4 linked regions of the Caenorhabditis elegans genome follow. The protein of the gene in region 1 interacts with the protein of each later gene in a pairwise test. Each region holds a gene or a part of one and is shown on either strand. Other genes may lie near its edges.

Region 1 (4,542 bases):
ATATAAAAATGCTGTTCAAGGACCATGAACAGTGTCAGAGGCCTCGATGTGGAAACCAACGACGATTTTCGAGATATTTAAATTGAGATATGATATGAATAAAACATTTTGTCTAATAAAATTTTTCAAAAAGTTTCACACGCAGGATTTATGTACGAAATGTTTAATTATTATTGCGTGGAGGTTTTTTGTGTCAAAATCTATAACAACTAATATTCCCAAAAGACTGGAATTAAACACCGAAAACCCTTATTGACGCAGGTAACACCCTTGATGACCGTTCATTATTTTAAGTTTCTTACCGCTTTTCAAATATAACACGTAATTGGTGGGTTTAGCTTTTGTGGTAAAACTTCAGTTTCAGAAATTGAGTGGAAAAGAAAAAAAAGAAGATAGATGTTCCGCAGATTATAGAGATTGAAAGCTAAAATTTACATGACTGAATGATTCATAAATTTTTCTATTCTAGAAATTTCTCTGTAATTATCATCCCAAGAGGGAATAATAATGATAAAATATTTAGTGAAGATGTATGATGCAGGAGATGAACATATGTAGAAAACAATTTATTTATCAAAATATACACAAAAAACCATCACAAAGTTATTTTTTCCCAAAAATTAATAATTAAAGTTAATTTACTTTCTGCAGGAAGCCGAACAACTCTGCTGACAAGCTGGCTGACACTGCGAGATTGGTTGCTGTTGCTGAATGCATTGGGTGTTGCAGCTTTGCTCACATTGTGGCTGACACTGTGGGGACTGACGAGCAACTGGAACATTGATGGTAAGCTGAATTTGTTGTTGCGTTTGAACTGGAGCTGCTGGAGCAGCTGGGGAGCAGGCTGGCTGGCATTGAGCGTCGCATTGTGGAGCGCACTGGTTCACTGGGGTCTGCTGGACTTGGCATTCCTGGTTGCACTGGGTTTGGCAAGTGTTGCACTGGGAGATGGTTCCTCCGACCTACAAATTTAGGTTGGATTTCTTTAAATCTAGATTTAGAAGTAATACTATTAATATGTTACCTGAACATTGGTGTCTCTGTATGGCTGGTAGGTTGGTGCAGCAGTCTGGGAAGCTCCTTGGTATGATGGAATGGCTCCTGGCTGTTGGTAGTTGTTGTTGGTTTGGTAGTTGTTCTGGGCCTGTGGCTGGTAGTTGACTTGGTTGTAAGCGGAGCCAGATGGCGTGGCACATTGTGGCTGGCACGATTGATCACATGATGATTGGCACTGTTGCACTGGCTGCTGTTGCTGCTGGCATGTGTTAAGGCACGAGTTTTGGCAGGTATTGCATTGACTGGCTTGTTGCTGTTGTGGTGGGGCAGTATTGTACTCGGATCTTCCGGTGTAGGCTGGGATTTGTCCTGGCTGAGCGTAGGTTTGCTGTTGGATCAATTGTTGAGAGTACTGATCATCGGATTGACATGTCGTCTGGCATTGCTGCTGGCACTGTTGCTGTGGTTGTTGTTGTTGTGGGCAAGCAGCTTGACAATCTTGTTGGCACTGTTGCTGAGCTGGCTGCTGAAGCTGAACTGGCTGAGCGCATGCGGACTGGCAAGTGGAAGAGCAAGATGATTGGCACTGGGCGATTGGCTTAAATAATATGAAATGGCTAACTGGGTTGAATTTGGTTTGACTAACCTGTTGCTGGGCAACACAGCTCTGTTCACAGGAGCTCTGACAAGTTGGTGCACACTGTTGTTGCTGATACTGTTGAGCGCATCCGCAGCTTGATGGCTGTTGAGCTTGAGCGCAGGAGCAAGATTGTTGGGCGGTGTTGGTTTGAGCTGGTTGGCAGTTGCATTGTGGAGCAGCTGGAATGGCGCATCCACATGAAGATTGGCGACGAGCGCGGAGGAACTGAAAAAGGAACGACTTAATTTTTCAACTTAATTTTTTAGTCTTCTGGATAATATCTCATTTGCAAAAAACCTTCTAAATAGGCCCTTGCAAAAAAAATTAAGCGGCAGAGGAGAACTTAGAACTAGAAAAATTTCGATCTGAAGTTGCTATTAGTGTATTTTTTTTATTACTTTAGAAGCCCGTAAAATTGAAAATCAGAAAAACCCCTTGAGTGAAAAAATTTCAGATTTTTTCAAAAAATTAAAAATTCCAAAAAAATTTACGATTGTTAGCCAGCTCCTAAACATGCTAGAAGCTCTTGAAAGTCAGCAAAAATTCACACTTGGCACATTTTTACTGCCCTCGATAGTTCGAAAGTTGTGAAAAATTCATTGAAAACTTTTCAGAACGACTTTTTTGCAGCTCAAAATACTCCCCTGTTGCTAAATTTTCAGTAGTAAAATAATGAAGTCAAACGATAAACTATTTGAAACATATATTAAGAAGTTCCTATATTTTACTTAATTCATATTCAAGTTATGCAATTGCTTGTGAGTGAGCACGAAATGTTTTAAAATTAAAAAATAAGTATTTATAATATAAGAGTTAGAAAAGGGGAACAAATGAAATATTTATAATTAGATTCATAAAAATAATACATACCACATTCTCCTCAGCAGCCACCGCAAGTGCTGAAACCGCCAAAAGCGAAAAGAGAATTGAAAATTTGGTGTTCATTTCAAGCTTGTCAGAGTGAGTGATGATTGTCCCAATACATGCTCTTGCTTATATATCTTCCCGTTGCAATCAGTTAAACATCGCCCCCTCTCCTCTACTACCACCTCTGTCCCAAATTCCGGTTTCTTCGAGTGATGCGTCTCCAAATTTTTTGCGTGTGCCTGTGTGTGTGTGTGCTCATGTGTTTGGAAGAGCAGAGCAAGAGGGGGAGGGCGTGTTGTTATGTTGACATGTTGTTATTTTTTTGTTTTTTACTTTCTAGTATTCACAAGGGTTACAGTTGAAGAACTGGAGGGACGTGATCTTTCAGGACTTGGTCGATGTCAAAAGTCTTCCGGTGGTCTTTCAGCAGCCATCACAAACTACAGCAAAATATCTTTCTTCTTTAAATAATCTTTCTGATTAATTTGCAGTCACAAATTCAGTTCCTCATTCCTCATTACTCATAGAGTTATTACAAAGACAAAAATAGATATTTGAGAGTTCACTCGGTCAATCACCATTTCTAAAGTTCTTACTTTTCTTCCCAACAACATTAATTATCCCTGTGAAGTCTAGACTATGATATAATTGTTGTTGCTCAGAAAATAATCATGGAACATATTTGCAAATAAATAGATTTTTGTATATGGTGTAAATGTCATGAGTAATATATTACGTAATAACATTCTGACAGGACAATAACGTATGCTCCATGGGGTTTCAGGACGAATGACATGTTTTCTAGAAACTACATGAGTAAAATAAATTAATAACAAGATTTTGACAAATTCAAAACCCAATGGCAAAAGTATCATTTTCAACTTTAAATGGTTATGTTTGCAAATATAAGCTGTTTTTGTTGCTCTAGGAAGATATCAGTTAAAAACTCTTTAAAAAGTTATTAAAATGTATGAAGATTGCTTTCATTATTCTCAAACTTGTCATGTAAAACATCAAAAACCTGCCAGTCTATGACCTACAAATTGCGTCAATTGTTTGATGTTCTAAACTTGGTGAGAACTAGTTTACCAGCGCTGAATCTTTTTTGTGCTCAAAGCGGAATGGAATTTTTTGATCTTAGTCATTGCATCTTTACTCTTGTGGAGGTGCACTCATACTAATATCATATCATATAACCTGATAGTCTTGCCAATATTGCGGGAAACTGATAAATCCACTCGGCAAATAGTTTTGGTGCAGTTTTCGATATTTAGTACGAATGTTTTTATAAAATTATTTCAAGGGAAACCTTGAATACTTTGTAAAATTACATTGTACCTTTTTGCAGATAGAGGTCTTAAATTCATATTACATTTTTTTACAGCGCCTTCACACCCACCCAAATCCAAATTCCGTTGAATTGTTTTCATTGATACTCATGATTTTTTGTTACCACAATCGCTCACGCTTTTCAAGAGATTATTCTTGAGGAGCATGTTTCCTTAGGATCAAGGGTGTGGGAAGAACATTGCGAGAGTGAGAATGAGCACGGAAAATGACCGGTCTTTATGAGAGCGGAAGTATGTATACACTATCTCTATCTTGTTAGACAAATAATCAACACATGTAGTAGCTAATGTAGGAATGCTAATTATGTTAAGACGTGTGGGGGGATTAGATGCTGTGAATGAGCAGTTCTACAAAAGATCAAGGGGTACTGAGAAATTTGCTCTTTTCGATAGGAAGACTCTGCAAAAGATCAGATGCATGGATTCTCAAATCACAGCGTGTATTTGAGAGCTACACAACAAAAAATGTGTACGGCTGTCGAACCGTATTATACAAAAACTTTTCAAATTAGGGGCGGGCGGCAATTGCCGTTCGGAAGTTTTTTTGTCGACAAATTCGGAAAATCGGTAAATTGCCGGTTGACTGGTTTGCTGAAAATTTTCAATTCCGGCAATTTGCTAGTTTGCCGATTTGCCAAAAATTTCAATTCCGGCAATTTAGCAATTTGCCGGAAAAAATCGTTTGCCGCC
Region 2 (5,035 bases), on another chromosome or scaffold:
GATTTTGGGCGCTGCTAACACTACAAACTACAAGATTTTGGGCGCTGCTAATTCAATTTTGGGCGCTGCTTAGACTACAAACTACGAGTTTTGGGCGCTGCTAAGACTACAAACTACAAGTTTTGGGCGCTGCTTAGACTACAAACTACAAGATTTTGGGCGCTGCTAAACTACAAACTACAAGATTTTGGGCGCTGCTAACACTACAAACTACAAGATTTTGGGCGCTGCTAATTCAATTTTGGGCGCTGCTAATTCAATTTTGGGCGCTGCTAAACTACAAACTACAAGTTTTGGGCGCTGCTAATTCAATTTTGGGCGCTGCTAAGACTACAAACTACAAGTTTTGGGCGCTGCTATGCGATTTTTCGTATAAAAAACCTAGTTTTCGACTGTTTTTTCGGCAAAAAATTGGAAAAATGAAGAAAAAGTGAGTTTGGGCGCTGCTAAAACTACAAACTACAAGATTTGGGCGCTGCTATCGCAATTTTTCATGTTTTTTTTCTTCGTTTTTCTCCACTAAACACAATGAAATTAATTTATTCGACACGGAAAAATTGGTACAAAAAATTACAAATTCGCTAGAAAAATCGATACAAACAAAAAAAAAAGGCTGTTCAGGATTTATCCAAAAAGTACATGTAATGCAGTGACGCATCAATTGTGGCGAGCAGAAGCTCATCGACCGCCCGTCTAGTGGCTCTTCTTATGTGACTTCTTCGTGTGCTGCTTCTTTGAATGCTTCGAATGGTGTCCATGATGGTGGTGGTTCTCCTTGTCGTCATGGTGTCCGTGGTGGGCTCCGTGATGGGCTCCGTGCTCGTGGTGGGCTCCGTGGTGTCCGTGGTGAGCCGGGGAGTGATGGGCTCCGTGGTGGGTCCCATGACCTCCGTGATGTCCGTGATGTGCTAGGGAGTGGTGGGTTCCGTGGTGTCCGTGATGGACTCCGTGAGATCCGTGGTGATGATCTCCATGGTGTTCGTGATGCTCATGGTGTGGGGCGTGGTGGTGGTGGGCTCCGTGGTGTCCATGGTGAGCTCCGTAGCCTGCTCCATGATGTCCGTGATGAACTCCATGCTCCCCATGGTGTCCGTGGTGAGCCGGTGCGTGGTGACCATGCCCATGGGATTCGTGGTGTCCGTGATGAACTCCGTGAGATCCGTGGTGTCCGTGGTGTCCGTGATGAGCTGGAGCATGGTGGTGCTCCCCATGATGTCCGTGGTGAGCTGGGGAGTGATGGGATCCGTGGTGTCCGTGGTGGGTCCCATGTTCCCCGTGGTGTCCATGGTGTGCTGGAGCATGGTGGTGCTCTCCATGATGTCCGTGGTGGGTCCCATGTTCCCCGTGGTGTCCGTGGTGTGCTGGAGCATGGTGGTGCTCCCCATGATGTCCGTGGTGAGCTGGGGAGTGATGGGATCCGTGGTGTCCGTGGTGGGTCCCATGTTCCCCGTGGTGTCCATGGTGTGCTGGAGCATGGTGGTGCTCTCCATGATGTCCGTGATGAGCTGGAGCATGGTGGTGCTCCCCATGATGTCCGTGGTGGGCTGGGGAGTGATGTCCGTGTCCATGGGATTCGTGGTGTCCATGATGAGCTGGAGCATGGTGGTGCTCTCCATGGTGTCCGTGGTGGGTCCCATGTTCCCCGTGATGAGCTGGGGAGTGGTGGGTCCCATGGTGCTCTCCATGATGTCTGTGGTGGACTCCGTGCTCGTCGTGATGAGCTGCGTGCTCATGGTGCTCTCCTTCCTTGTGCTCGTGATGAGCTCCATCCTTGTGCTCGTGGTGCTCATGATGGGCTGGAGCGTGCTTCTTCTCGTCCTCAGATTCTGAGGAAGATGAGGAGCTGGAGCTGGAGCTGGAGGAAGAGCTAGAGCTAGAAGAGCTCGCGGCCTTCTTGTGATGCTTCTTTCCGTGGCTCTTCTTGTGATGCACCTTCTTCTTCTTCTTCTCGTCTTCAGATTCCGAGGAAGAAGACGATGAAGAAGAACTGGAAGAGGAAGAGGAGCTGCTGGAAGAGCTGGAGCTGGAAGCGGCCTTCTTGTGATGCTTCACGTGCTTCTTGGCGGCGTGCTTCTTGTGATGGTGCTTCTCATCCTCGGATGAGGAAGAGGAGCTGGAGGAGCTCGAGCTCGAGCTGCTGGACGAGCTAGACTCGGCCTTCTTGTGATGCTTCTTCACGGCATGCTTCTTGTGGTGATGCTTCTCGTCTTCGGACTCCGACGACGAAGAAGACGAGCTGGAGGAGCTGGAGCTAGAGGAGCTTGACGATGAGCTGCTGGAAGAGCTCTCAGCCTTCTTGTGATGCTTCTTCAGATGCTTCTTGGCATGCTTCTTATGGTGATGCTTCTCGTCTTCGGACTCAGATGAGGAGCTGGAAGAGGAGCTTGAGCTGGAGCTCGAGGAGCTGGATGAGCTGGAAGAGCTAGACTCGGCCTTCTTGTGATGCTTCTTAAGATGCTTCTTGGCGTGCTTCTTGTGGTGGTGCTTCTCGTCCTCGGATTCAGACGAAGAGGAAGAGGATGAGGATGAGCTGGAGGAGCTGGAGCTCGAGCTGCTGCTGGAGGAGGAGCTGGAGCTGCTCGAGTCCTGAGCCTTCACATGGTGATGGTGGTGGTGGACCTCGTGGTGGCCTGGATGGGCTCCGTGAGCATGATGGGTATGGTGACCGTGGTGTGGGGAGATGAAGCTCAGGAATCCTGAAATATTCCTGTTTATTAAGAGATTCCAAAGCTCCGGACCAACCTTTCAATGAGATGTGTCCATCATGAGCATGATGATCAAAGACCTTCTGGAAGTGGAGCTCCTTGGCCAGGTGCTCAATATCGTGGAGCGCCGAGCGAGCTTCATCCCGAGTGAGCTTATGCCCGTGCGAGGAGTGCTTCGAGAAGAGCTTCTCTGAAAATTATCATGATCTTTGACTACCGTAGGTGATACTAAGAAACTACAACTGATAACATGTCAGTTGTGTTGTGTTGGCAAACATTTCCGAAATTTTCTAATTTTTTCGGTAATTTCACTGATAAGAATGATCTTTGGCAGGAAGCGCCGAAAACTCACTGATCTTGTGAAGCGACACGTGGTGGGTGTGATGATGATGGTGCACCGTCATTGTTTAGGTTCTGGAATTTTCAGAATTTTCAGAATTTTACTCGAAATTCAAAGTTAAGAGGGATTTTAGAAGTAAAATCGAGAAAAAGCCCCGAAAATTTTGATAATCACCGTCCTCCTCCGCCCCATTTTATAAGCTTTTTTTAGGCTCCGCCTCCCTTAAGTTTGACTCCGCCCATTTTGACACGGGAGGCAATTAAAAGTTTTGATGATGTTTGGAGAAGTGAGAGATCGAGATAAGACACCCGGAGAAGGAGAAACGTGAAAATTTGGGACGATGATTGTCAGAGTGATGTAATATTTGGGGAGGTAATAGGAGAGGTGATGAAGTCTGACAGCTGTTGAGCATCAGCATTTGATTAATTTTCAAAATTTTCAAATTTTCAGCTGATTGTATTATAGTAGTTCACTGAAGGGTTTTGTGTGAGAAGTTGGAGGTTTTTGTGATTTTTCGGGTCTCGGTAGGTTCTAGCATACCGAAAAAGAGCCTGACCTTTGGACACTGACCTTTTCTGGAACGTTTAACTGCTTCCAATAAGCTTCAAGTGGCTCCGAGCAGCCTGATTGCTAAAATTTTCTAATTGTTTCAGTTAGATCATAGACATTTCTAGCGGCTTCCAACTAGTCCTAGACCCTTCCAAGTACTTCTAGAAGCTACCAGCCTGACCTAGGAGTTCAAAGCCTGGCCTAGGCGCCCAGCAAGCTTTCTGAAGGCTTCAATTTGCTTTTAGTAAGCCTTGTGATCGTCTAGCAGATCTAAAGTGCCTTCACGAGCTCTTAGTGATTCCGAAAAGCCCGACTGCTGAAATCTTCCAATTGCCTCCAACAGCTCATAAATGTCTCTAGAAGCTTCCAGCCTGACCTAGGAGTTCAAGCAAGCTTTCTAAAGGATTTAATTTGCTTCTACTGAGCCCTGTACTATTCTAATAGGCCTCAAGTCCTTTGTGAGTTCCCAGTGGCTCCTAGCAGATTTTAGCAGCTCCGACGAGCACGGCTTCTAGCAGCTCCCTATTGGTCCGATAAGCTTCTATGGGCCTCTAGAAGCTCCCAACTGGCTTTAGCTGCCCTCAAGAGCTCTGAGCAGCACTGGGTTGCTTCAAGGTGTTAGATTCCTGGTTTTCCAGATTTTAACCAAATTCAGCAGCTCTGATTGGGCTTTCGGAGCTTTCAGCACCCGCCGACCTTTCCCAACTGCCCCTAAAAACTCCAAACTGTGTTTTCTGAAGAGCCACACCCAAAACTGCTATTTTATGAGCCTGTGGCATTTCCAAAGATGATGGCAAACTTTTAATGGTGCTCTTAACACCTTTTTTTTGTTGGAAATTCGAAATACTAGTTTTCTAGTTTTCCAAATATCATGTGATCATTCAATCTTGCAATGGTGGTTATAATTCATTATTTGCACCAACAATTAATACTCCTTATCTCTATAATGTTCTTAATTTGCTGCAATTGAACTGGTTTTTGAAGTACCAACTACACTTTTTGAAGGTTTCCGGTGGAAAATTCAGGAGTTTGAGCAATTTTGTCAGAAATTTCCGTTTCCTGACAATCTTCTGGCTTCAAAATTCGAGTTTTTGACTTTTTCTCAAAAAAAACCGGGAAAATTAGGAGAAAAAGCTTCAAATCTGGATAGTTTTTCCGGAAAAACATCGAAAATCGATGTTTCCTCAATTTTCCTGAAACTTTGATATTTTTTGGGCCTTTGACTTGAAATTTCAAGCATTTCACAGCATACTGTCGTGGAATTCATACAGGCAGCCTAATTTTTAAGATCCTTGACTTTTTTCCAGTTCCTGTACATTTTCAGCATTCGGGAGCAATTTCCGCCCCACGTTCCGAAACCAAAAACCGCAAAACTATTCGAAAAATGTGCCATCAGCAGGTTTTTCTCTCTCCATAATTGATTATCGGTCATTCTGCCGCT
Region 3 (3,305 bases), on another chromosome or scaffold:
TTAATTTTTAAAGAATCCACAAAACTCAAAGATTTCTTTTGAAAATAGAAAATCGTCCACTCTTCAAATTTTCAAAACTTCAAGTCAAGCAGTTTTTTCAATTTTTTGGTTTCAAACAACTTTTAAACATAAAGCAACTCCCAGTACCTAAAAACCTTAAGTTATCTTCACCTTTTATCGATTTTCAGTTCGTCTACACCCCATCCGCTGTCGCATGCTCTAACACAATCTCTGATGCAGCTTGCCAAGCTCTCTACGCTGCTCCAGACACCACTGCCGGATACCCATCAGCTGGAACCGATGCTGAACGACCATTGAACTGCTACACAACCGCCACAGCTACTCCAGCAGCTATTGTTCAAGACATGAAGACTGCTGCTTTGGAGACTTGTGCCAAGACTTGTGGATTGTGCTGCCAAACTGATGCATACAGTTGCAGTAAATGTTTGAAAATTCTAAGAAAATTCAATTGCATCAAATCCAAGAAATAGGTGGGGCCACTTCATGAGTTTGAAAGAGATTAACACCAATTTGAAATAGTTACTTTGTGAATTCTACTTCCGTAATTGTGAACGAATTGTTATAAGGCATTTACGGCAAATCGATTCTCAAAAGTCACGTATTCCGAACACTGAACCCAATGGTTTTTGACTTGGGGTACTACAAAAACTACAATTACGTTTTTAAAGTTTCAATTAATGTTATAATTATTGAAATTTCCTTTATGAAAAATTAAATCTTAAAGGGAAATTGTTAAGATTTAAAAATAAATTAAAATGTTTCGATAAAGTTACATATACATTGATCGAAGCCGACTATCAGATTGACACAAACAAAAACAGGTAAAAAACTGATCATCAAAGTTTTCTAATGATCAATTAAACGAAAGAAATCAAAAACAGAACCTGTTAATGATCTGTAAAATATATCAAATTGAACACATTTTTTAAAAATTCAAATGTATCAGATAAACCCATTAAAGGGTTAGAACTTTTTAAGTGAGAATTTGTAAGAAATTAAAATTTTTTTCATCGACAGGCTAACCTAGCAGGCTCCTCTAACAATTCCACCAATAAATTATTTTCCAATTTCAGACCCACGCCTCGACTGCTCAACAATCACCACTGCTCAATGTAACTCTATCATCTGGAGATCCATCATTGCCACCGACTGCCCATCTGCTTGCGGATTCTGTAACGAGGGAGGATGTGTTGATGCTCTTGTTGACTGTGCCACTGATATCTCAATCTGCACTACAGTTGGAATGCAAGATTTCGTGAATACCTACTGCCAAAGAACATGTGGAAGATGCCCATCATCAAGTACAACCTCTTCAAGCTCCACAGCTTCATCTTCCTCCACATGCACTTCTTACAATGCTGACAGTTCATCTCTCTGTTCCGATTGGGCGGCCAATGGATTCTGCACCAATGCGTTCTACACCAGTGCTCAGAGAAAATCTTATTGTGCATCGACCTGCAAGATTTGCTAATTTTTGTCTTCACATAATTTATCACCCCCGCCCCATTTTTTTTTCCAGCCCAGTGACGCTTTCTGAACCCAATTACCTTATTCATTCTAACGGAACTGACCAATCCAGTAAAAATATCGAATAAAAAGCGTTGTGATTTTTAATGTACAAATGAATGATTGCATGGAAAGCTAACATTGTTTGAACAAGCAAAAAACGTTGGTAAAATGGAAACAATGAATTCATCGCTGTGCACTATTGTCAGACAGGTGATCAAATATGATGAATAGGAGTATATAAGAGATATCGGTTTGTCGAGTAATCATCCAAGAATTTCAACAGCAATTCATCCAGCAATGTATTTCCTCATCAGCCTCTTCTTCGTCCCATTCAGCAGCGCCGTTATTGGTGGTGACTTGAATTGTACTACTTACAATGGAACAGCGGTATGTTTTTAGGATAGCGTTTCGAAGGGCCTCTAATAGTAAGAATATTAAAATTTCAGTTCGTCTACACCCCATCCGCCACAGCCTGCTCGAACTCGATTTCCGATTCATCGTGTGCTGCTCTCTACCCACCAGCAGATGCGGCTATTGGATACCCAGCTGCTGGAAATGATGCTGAAAGACCATTTGCTTGTTACACAACTGCCACTCCAACTCCTGCTCCAGTTGTTGCTGACATGAAGACTGCTGCCTTGGCCAACTGCGCCAAGACCTGTGGATTCTGCTGCTCAACTGACGCCTACAATTGTCCAAATGTTGCTTGTAAGTTCCTATTTTTATTTTAGTATTCCTAAAACACGCTCCCACTTCTTTCAGTCCCACGTCTCAACTGCAACACAATCACCAAGGCTCAATGCGACTCTGTCACTTGGAGAACCATCATCGCCGCTGACTGCCCATCTGCCTGCGGATTCTGCAACCAGGGAGGATGCGTCGATGCTGTCACCAACTGCGGAAACGACTTGAGCATTTGCCAAACCGTCGGAATGCAAGATTTCGTTAACCAATACTGCCAAAGAACCTGCGGAAGATGCCCATCGACAACTGGATCCGGAACTGTCACCACTGCATCTTCGGGATCTTGCACTTCATTCGCCGCCGACTCCAGCTCATCTTGCTCAGCTTGGGCCGCCAACGGATTCTGCACCAACACCTTCTACACAGCTGCTCAACGCAAATCCAGATGTGCCACAAGTTGCAGACTCTGCTAATCTATTAATTTATCAATTTTCTCTGACATTTCTCCTTACTTCTTTCAAGACACACATCGGGTGACTATGGAACTGACCATTCCTTCCGTACAATAAATGTTTTAACGTGCAAGTTTTTGGTGAACAGTTTACAACAATAAAACAGGCATGTTTTCAGGCGTACCTTGTACCTTATACCTACCAGAACTTTTCCGTTTTCTCAGTTATTTTACCGTGGTTTTTTGCAGAATTTGAGAAGTATTAACAAGCATTTTGGTTATTAAAGACTAAAGGTTTAAGTTCATTTTGGCGGTAGGCAGGTGTAGGTCATGTTCCACTAGATGTGTGTCTATCCACCTACGTGTCTTATGAGTGACAAAATGGGTAACGGGAGGCCAGAATTCTGGCTTTTACATTATTATCAGCATTGTTAAGGAAAAGGCGATAGAGGGCGATACAGATTATTTTTCATAACTGCAACAAAAAATTCGGTTCATTTTAAATTCATATCGCAGTTAAAACTATTTTAAACGTTTGATCTTCTACTATTTGAATAATTTGATTAGCTGATTGGCTTATGACATCAGCTGCGGGAAGTCATTATGCAAACGTGAATAATTTGGTAGTACGTGTGTTTTA
Region 4 (5,676 bases), on another chromosome or scaffold:
CAAGCAGCGGTGAAAGTGGGCATTGTAATATGATTATTGGCCACTTTCACCGCTGCTTGCCCACTGAATACATAATTTTTTACTTGGAAATTGTTTTAGCATCTGCAAAAAGTATTTATTTATCAGTTTTAATAAGAAAAAACGAAAAAAATCGATGAAAAACAAAAGAAAACAGGCGGAAAACAAAGCAAGATAAATGGCCGCTGAAACTTGTCGGCCCCTCGGCCATGGCCTAGAAACCACTTTTCCTCGTCCCTCGTGAGGAAAAAGTTGCAGTGGCGCGCGAGACAGATGTGGCGTTGTTCCAATTTCTTGGCAATTAGCCAAGAAAATGGGAGAACGAACGGGGAAGAAGAGATATGGGAGACGACGGGGGAGACCCAGAAAAGGCGGAAAGTGAAAGAGCTGGGGAAAAGTAGTGGAATATCAAATTTAATCAAAATTCTTCGAAAAAAGGGGTTTTTTGCATTAAAAATCATGTTTTATGTTCATTTTATGTTTTATTACATGTTATCAGTGAAAATAATTGTTTTTGTCATCAAAAAGTATTTGTGAGCATGCTCATGAGCACATATGTGTTTGAGACAAGATTTCTAACAATTTATGGTTTAAACACACTAAATAAAGTACGAAATTACGATTAGCGTTTAAAAAAAATCAAAAATCTTTGTAAAAAATGCCAAAGAAATCAAAATTTGATGTCTTATCATCATCATTTGTGGGTTTTTAATGAATCGTCTAGCAAAAGAGAGGCAGGAAATTGCACTTTTCAGAAAAAAAACCCCACGAGGGGGCGCCTGATCTTGTTTTTTCTCGATAAAAATTGCGGAACAACGGAGAAATATTTATTTATCAATCTAGAAAAATATTGTTCCTCATAGCCTGAACCTGAAAAGAACTTTCTAGTTTTTTTGAAACTGCTATGAAATAGTTAGTAAAACAAATAAATAATGACTCATTTGGGCGCTCTGACGATCTGAAAAGCAGGTAAATTCGTCATACAGGAGAAAAATGAGGAAGAAATAACCTTTTTTCTTTTGAATTAAAAAAAAGCGGACATTTTTCTGAGGAAGAAGGGGGCTAAAGGGTGGCTAAAGGGCTCTTGAGACGGATTCGATTTATTTTTTGAGGTAGAAATATGGATTTTTAAGTCAATTTAAGTTTGGTTTCAAACAAAGCTAATTCTCAGGAATTGAGCGGTTTAGCTGTATAAAAATTTTAAAAATAAATACACCGCTCGCTCCATGGAGAAATATTAATTTTTGCTTTAAATCGAACTGTAGAGCTCTGCGAGCCTCTTCTCCACTCGACACACGGAAAAAACTAGTAAAAGTACCTGAAATATACTTTGGAAACAATTAATTTTCACAAAAAACGGAAAAAGGTTAAGTAAATTTGCTAAAACAACCAGTTTTTGTCGGCTAGGTTCTACTTTTCTAGTGCCGTGCTGGCTTTTCTCTATGCACGAGATATGCGCCAGCAAAATCGAGAAACGCGTCAGCGAGGACATGTTTGCGCCATCCGGGAATGGGAATGGGATTTATTTGGTTTTTCTCGTTTTTCTCGCTTTTTCTCTCACATGAGTGAATTTTCAGCCTTTTTTTCGAAATTTCGAATTTAAATTTGAATTTTCAGCAAAAAATGGAAATAAAACCAACGCCATCGCCTCCAGAAGAGCGCACAATATACGTGGCCAATTTTTCAGAAGAAGTCGATGAAGAATTGCTCGAAGAGCTTTTTATTCAAGCCGGCCCCGTTGTAAAAGTTATTCTGAGAGATGTGAGGGATTCTAATGCAAAATTCGCATTGGTGGAGTTTGAGGTAAGCAATTTCGCTGAAAAATTTAAAAAAAAAAATAAATTTCAGGACGAATTATCTGTACTATTCGCCATTGAATTGATGAATGGAGTGCGACTTTTCAATCAAGAACTACAAGTAAAGCCGCGAAATGGCACAAATCAGGAGGAATTATATAAGCGAAAAAAAGGAGAAATCGAGGAAAGAGTTCGATCGGTAGCGGCACCGGATCGAGACGGAAGACGGGATAGCTATAGAGATGATCGGAACAGGAATAGGTAGAGTTTATTGGATTAATTCAAGGATTTTAAGGCTCAATTAGCACGATCTGACGCAGCAAACACAGCTTCTTCCGTTTGTCGACGGGAATCCGGAGGCGCGATCTGCGGAGAGCCCGGCGGCAAGAGCAACGGATGCACAACATCCTGGGCATCGTTCGGCTGGATTTGAAGCAGCGTCAGTGCACCGAGCATTTGTAGACTGGCCGTCAATGTTGGCGACGAAGCCGGCGGCAGTGGAGCAGGCTGGAAATTGAATTTTATTGATTTTTTAGCGTTAAAAATCGTACCAAAGCAACTTGGGAATCTGTTAGCATTGTTATTGTTCCAGATGATCTGAAAAGAAACAAAATTGATTTTTTTTTTGAATTTTATAATGAAACTTCTTGAAAACTTTTCCAAAAAAAATTATGACGGCTCAAAAAATGGCCTAAAATTCGTTAAAATCGGAAATTTGATCGACTTGTCAATGTCGCAGCGGCTGGAAATATATTTTTTTGAAATCACCGTTAAATTTTGAGTCTACAAGTTGATATTTTGCGTTTTAAACTTGATTAACAAGGAAAGTCGAAAAATTTAATGTCTGACTTTGGCATGACATAGTATTTTTCGATAAAAGAGTAAAAATAATGATGCCTCCAAAAAATTTAGCTGCCCGGTTCAGGTTCAGCAAAGTTATGACGTTTTGGAAGTGACTAAAACACCTTTTTACAAAATTTCAAAATTTTCAACAAAAAAAAATTTCTAAAAAGAGGAGCAAATGTGTGTAAATTATTCAAAACAATGAAAAACATATGCTATGCAAGTTTTAGGTTATACCTCTCAAGAAAACCCACAAATTAAATCTGCAAAAAAATGTACTTTTTGGAATTTTCCTCAAGTTATGTAGATCAAGCAATGTGCTTTTTGGTCTGTGGTGAGAAAAAACGTGTATGATAAATGTTTTTCTCATTTTTGGATAAGTTAAAACAGTTTTTTCCTCTTTTTAGAAAATTTTTTTTTTTTTTGAAAATTTTGAAATTTTGTAAAAAGGTGTTCCAGTCACTTTCAAAACGTCATAACTTTGCCGAACCTGGACCGGGCAGCTAAATTTTTTGGAGGCATCATTATTTTCACTCTTTTATCGAAAAAAATACTATGTCATGCCAAAGTCAGACATTAAATTTTTCGACTTTCCTTGTTAATCAAGTTTAAAACGCAAAATATCAACTCGTAGACTCAAAATTTAACGGTGATTTCAAAAAAAAAATATTTCCAGCCGCTGCGACATTGACAAGTCGGTCAAATTTCCGATTTCATCTAATTTTAGGCCATTTTTTGAGCCGTCATAACTTTTTTCTGAAAAGTTTTCAAGAAGTTTCATTATGAAATTCGGTGTTTTCAGACAATTTTGAGCCTAATAAGGCAATTTTTAAAAAAAATTCTACTACACCAGTGGTGTAACACCACCTTTAATTATAAAAAACATTATAAAAAACTCACGCTCTGCCCCGCAGCCACAGAAATTACAGCGAAAAATACGATAAGAAGCTTCATCTCTAACTCAGACGATGATAAAAAGATCAAATTCGGCTTTATTTTATACCCGGCGTTGGCTTGGTTTCTGTCTCACAACATTTTTTTTTTGATTAAAAATCTCAGAAATCGAAGAAAAACGTTGAAAATCAACAAAAAAAGGCCGAAAAATCATTTTTTTTTTGTCTTTTCCAGAAACGGAAACAACCGTGACTCATGGCAGCAGCAGCAGCCTCCTCGTCATCATCGACAATATGATCCTCTTCCACCTCCACCGCCACCTCCACTGATGGGAGGATCCGGAGGACATTGGAGAAGCGGAGGGGAAAGAGGTAGCAAAAAAATCGATTTTTAGTTGAAATTTCTGAAAAATTGGAGATTTTTAGGCCTGAAATACATGAGAACGGGCTCAAAATAACTGAAAAATGGAAAAAAAATCTTTTTTTTAAAAATTTTTTTTTGCAAAAAATTCAAAATTTCAACCTTTTTTCCGCAAAAAAACATGCTGAAACCCTAAAAATCGATAATTTGCAAGGTTTTTGCGGAAATTAGCCGGAAAATTTGATTTTTAAAAAATTGAGCCAATTTTTGAGGAATTTTAGAAGAACAAATCTATAATTTTTCCGAAACCCCCTCAATATAAGTGAGAAATCGGTGAAAAAATCTTAATTAGAAAAAATTTTTTTTTGTTCAAAAATCTGAAAAATTGGAGATTTTTAGCCCTAAATTGCATAAAAGCAGGCTCAATTTACCTAATTAGGCCTAAAATAACTCAAAAATTGGGAAAAAAAATTACACCAGACGAAAAAAAGAGCATCGTTTGTCCAATTTTCAGACATTTTTCCGCAAAAAAAAATTGCTGAAGCTCAAAAGTGGCCAATTTTAGAGAGTTTCAGGGACTTTTTTTGCGGCAAAAAGTCTGAAAAATCATTCCTAAAATCAAATATTAGAGAAAAATTCAATGAAAACCAATAAATTTTCTGCAGAAAAACGCAGAAATGTCGGAAAAATTCGTTAATTTTTCCAAAAAATCGATTTTTTTTGCAGAAGTTTCTGAAAAGTTCTAGATTTTTAGACCTAAATTTCATGAGAACAAGCTTAATGTACCTAAAATAACTAAAAAAAATTGAATAAAATTGAAAAAGCTGAAAAAAGTTCGCTGAAAAAAGTAACCAATTCAGCCGAAAAACGCAAGAATGTCGGAAAAAAAATCGAAAAATCAATATTTTCCAGGTCCTCCACAATATTCGACTCCGCAAATGCTTCCTCATCAACATTTTGTAAATCAAATGATGCAGCAACAAATTAATAGATCCGCTCCTCCGTACAATGGACGTCATCAGAATTCCACGCCACACCGTCATCACGATCGTCATGGATATGACCGAAGCTCGAGCCGGCATCATCGCAATGATGACAGAAGACGTGAACGTTATTGATCGATGATTCGGGCGGGAAATCATAATTATTTTGATCTTTTTCACTTGTTTTGCCATGTTTTTTGGTCTCATTTTATATATTTAATAAAAGCAAACACAATTTGAAAATATAGAGAAAAATGCAACAACAAAGATCTACTGGAAATTTTCAAAAAAATTTATTTTTAGGCTCCGCCCACTTCCTGGATATCCGGAAATTTCAAGTGATTTTTTTGGAATTTTTTTCCTTTCCAGAAAAACAGATATCTCCAGGAAGTGGGCGGGGCCTAATAAGCCGTTTTTTTTTGAAAAATAAAAAAATCCAAAAAAATTTATTTTTAGGCTCCGCCCACTTCTTGGGCATTCGGAAATTTTCAGTGTTTTTTTTGGAATTTATTTTCCAAAATAACCTATCTCCAAGAAGTGGGCGGGGCCTAAAAAGCAGTTTTTTTTTGAAAATTGTTAAAAAATCAAAAAATTCGGATTTTTTTTGGAAAATCCTAAAAATTCAGAAATTCCACAGAAAAAAAACACCTTTTTTTCAATTTTGGCTAAATTTTGGCCGACCAACCAGCGAATTGCTTCGCCCACTTTCCGACCAATCAGGTGAGAGGTCCACCTTTATTATTTCATTAAAAGTAAACAATTTGAAGAAGGAAAAAAAAACG

The links.
Region 2: the proteins of abu-11 (region 1) and Y39B6A.1 interact in a two-hybrid assay, tested with the Caenorhabditis elegans proteins (one large-scale study listed by BioGRID).
Region 3: the proteins of abu-11 (region 1) and phat-4 interact in a two-hybrid assay, tested with the Caenorhabditis elegans proteins (one large-scale study listed by BioGRID).
Region 4: the proteins of abu-11 (region 1) and rbm-7 interact in a two-hybrid assay, tested with the Caenorhabditis elegans proteins (one large-scale study listed by BioGRID).

The regions. Positions count from the first base shown.
Region 1 is NC_003280.10:191,954-196,495, forward strand, and holds abu-11 (Activated in Blocked Unfolded protein response), read right to left. Parts: upstream 2,606-4,542; 5' UTR 2,582-2,605; coding exon 2,507-2,581; intron 1,862-2,506; coding exon 1,643-1,861; intron 1,595-1,642; coding exon 1,025-1,594; intron 963-1,024; coding exon 639-962; 3' UTR 556-638; downstream 1-555. Other genes in the region: T01D1.8 (ZP domain-containing protein), read left to right, coding at 1-86.
Region 2 is NC_003283.11:19,200,489-19,205,523, forward strand, and holds Y39B6A.1 (Histidine-rich glycoprotein-like), read right to left. Parts: upstream 3,120-5,035; 5' UTR 3,110-3,119; coding exon 3,058-3,109; intron 2,896-3,057; coding exon 2,743-2,895; intron 2,697-2,742; coding exon 694-2,696; 3' UTR 525-693; downstream 1-524.
Region 3 is NC_003283.11:4,128,111-4,131,415, forward strand, and holds phat-4 (ShKT domain-containing protein), read left to right. Parts: upstream 1-1,793; 5' UTR 1,794-1,827; coding exon 1,828-1,917; intron 1,918-1,976; coding exon 1,977-2,238; intron 2,239-2,292; coding exon 2,293-2,687; 3' UTR 2,688-2,799; downstream 2,800-3,305.
Region 4 is NC_003281.10:12,927,827-12,933,502, reverse strand, and holds rbm-7 (RRM domain-containing protein), read left to right. Parts: upstream 1-1,635; 5' UTR 1,636-1,641; coding exon 1,642-1,821; intron 1,822-1,866; coding exon 1,867-2,075; exon of another isoform or gene 2,076-2,115; coding exon of another isoform or gene 2,116-2,321; intron 2,322-2,365; coding exon of another isoform or gene 2,366-2,411; intron 2,412-3,557; coding exon of another isoform or gene 3,558-3,611; exon of another isoform or gene 3,612-3,630; intron 3,631-3,785; coding exon 3,786-3,922; intron 3,923-4,823; coding exon 4,824-5,029; 3' UTR 5,030-5,133; downstream 5,134-5,676. Other genes in the region: Y37D8A.19 (uncharacterized protein), read right to left, coding at 2,116-2,321, 2,366-2,411, 3,558-3,611.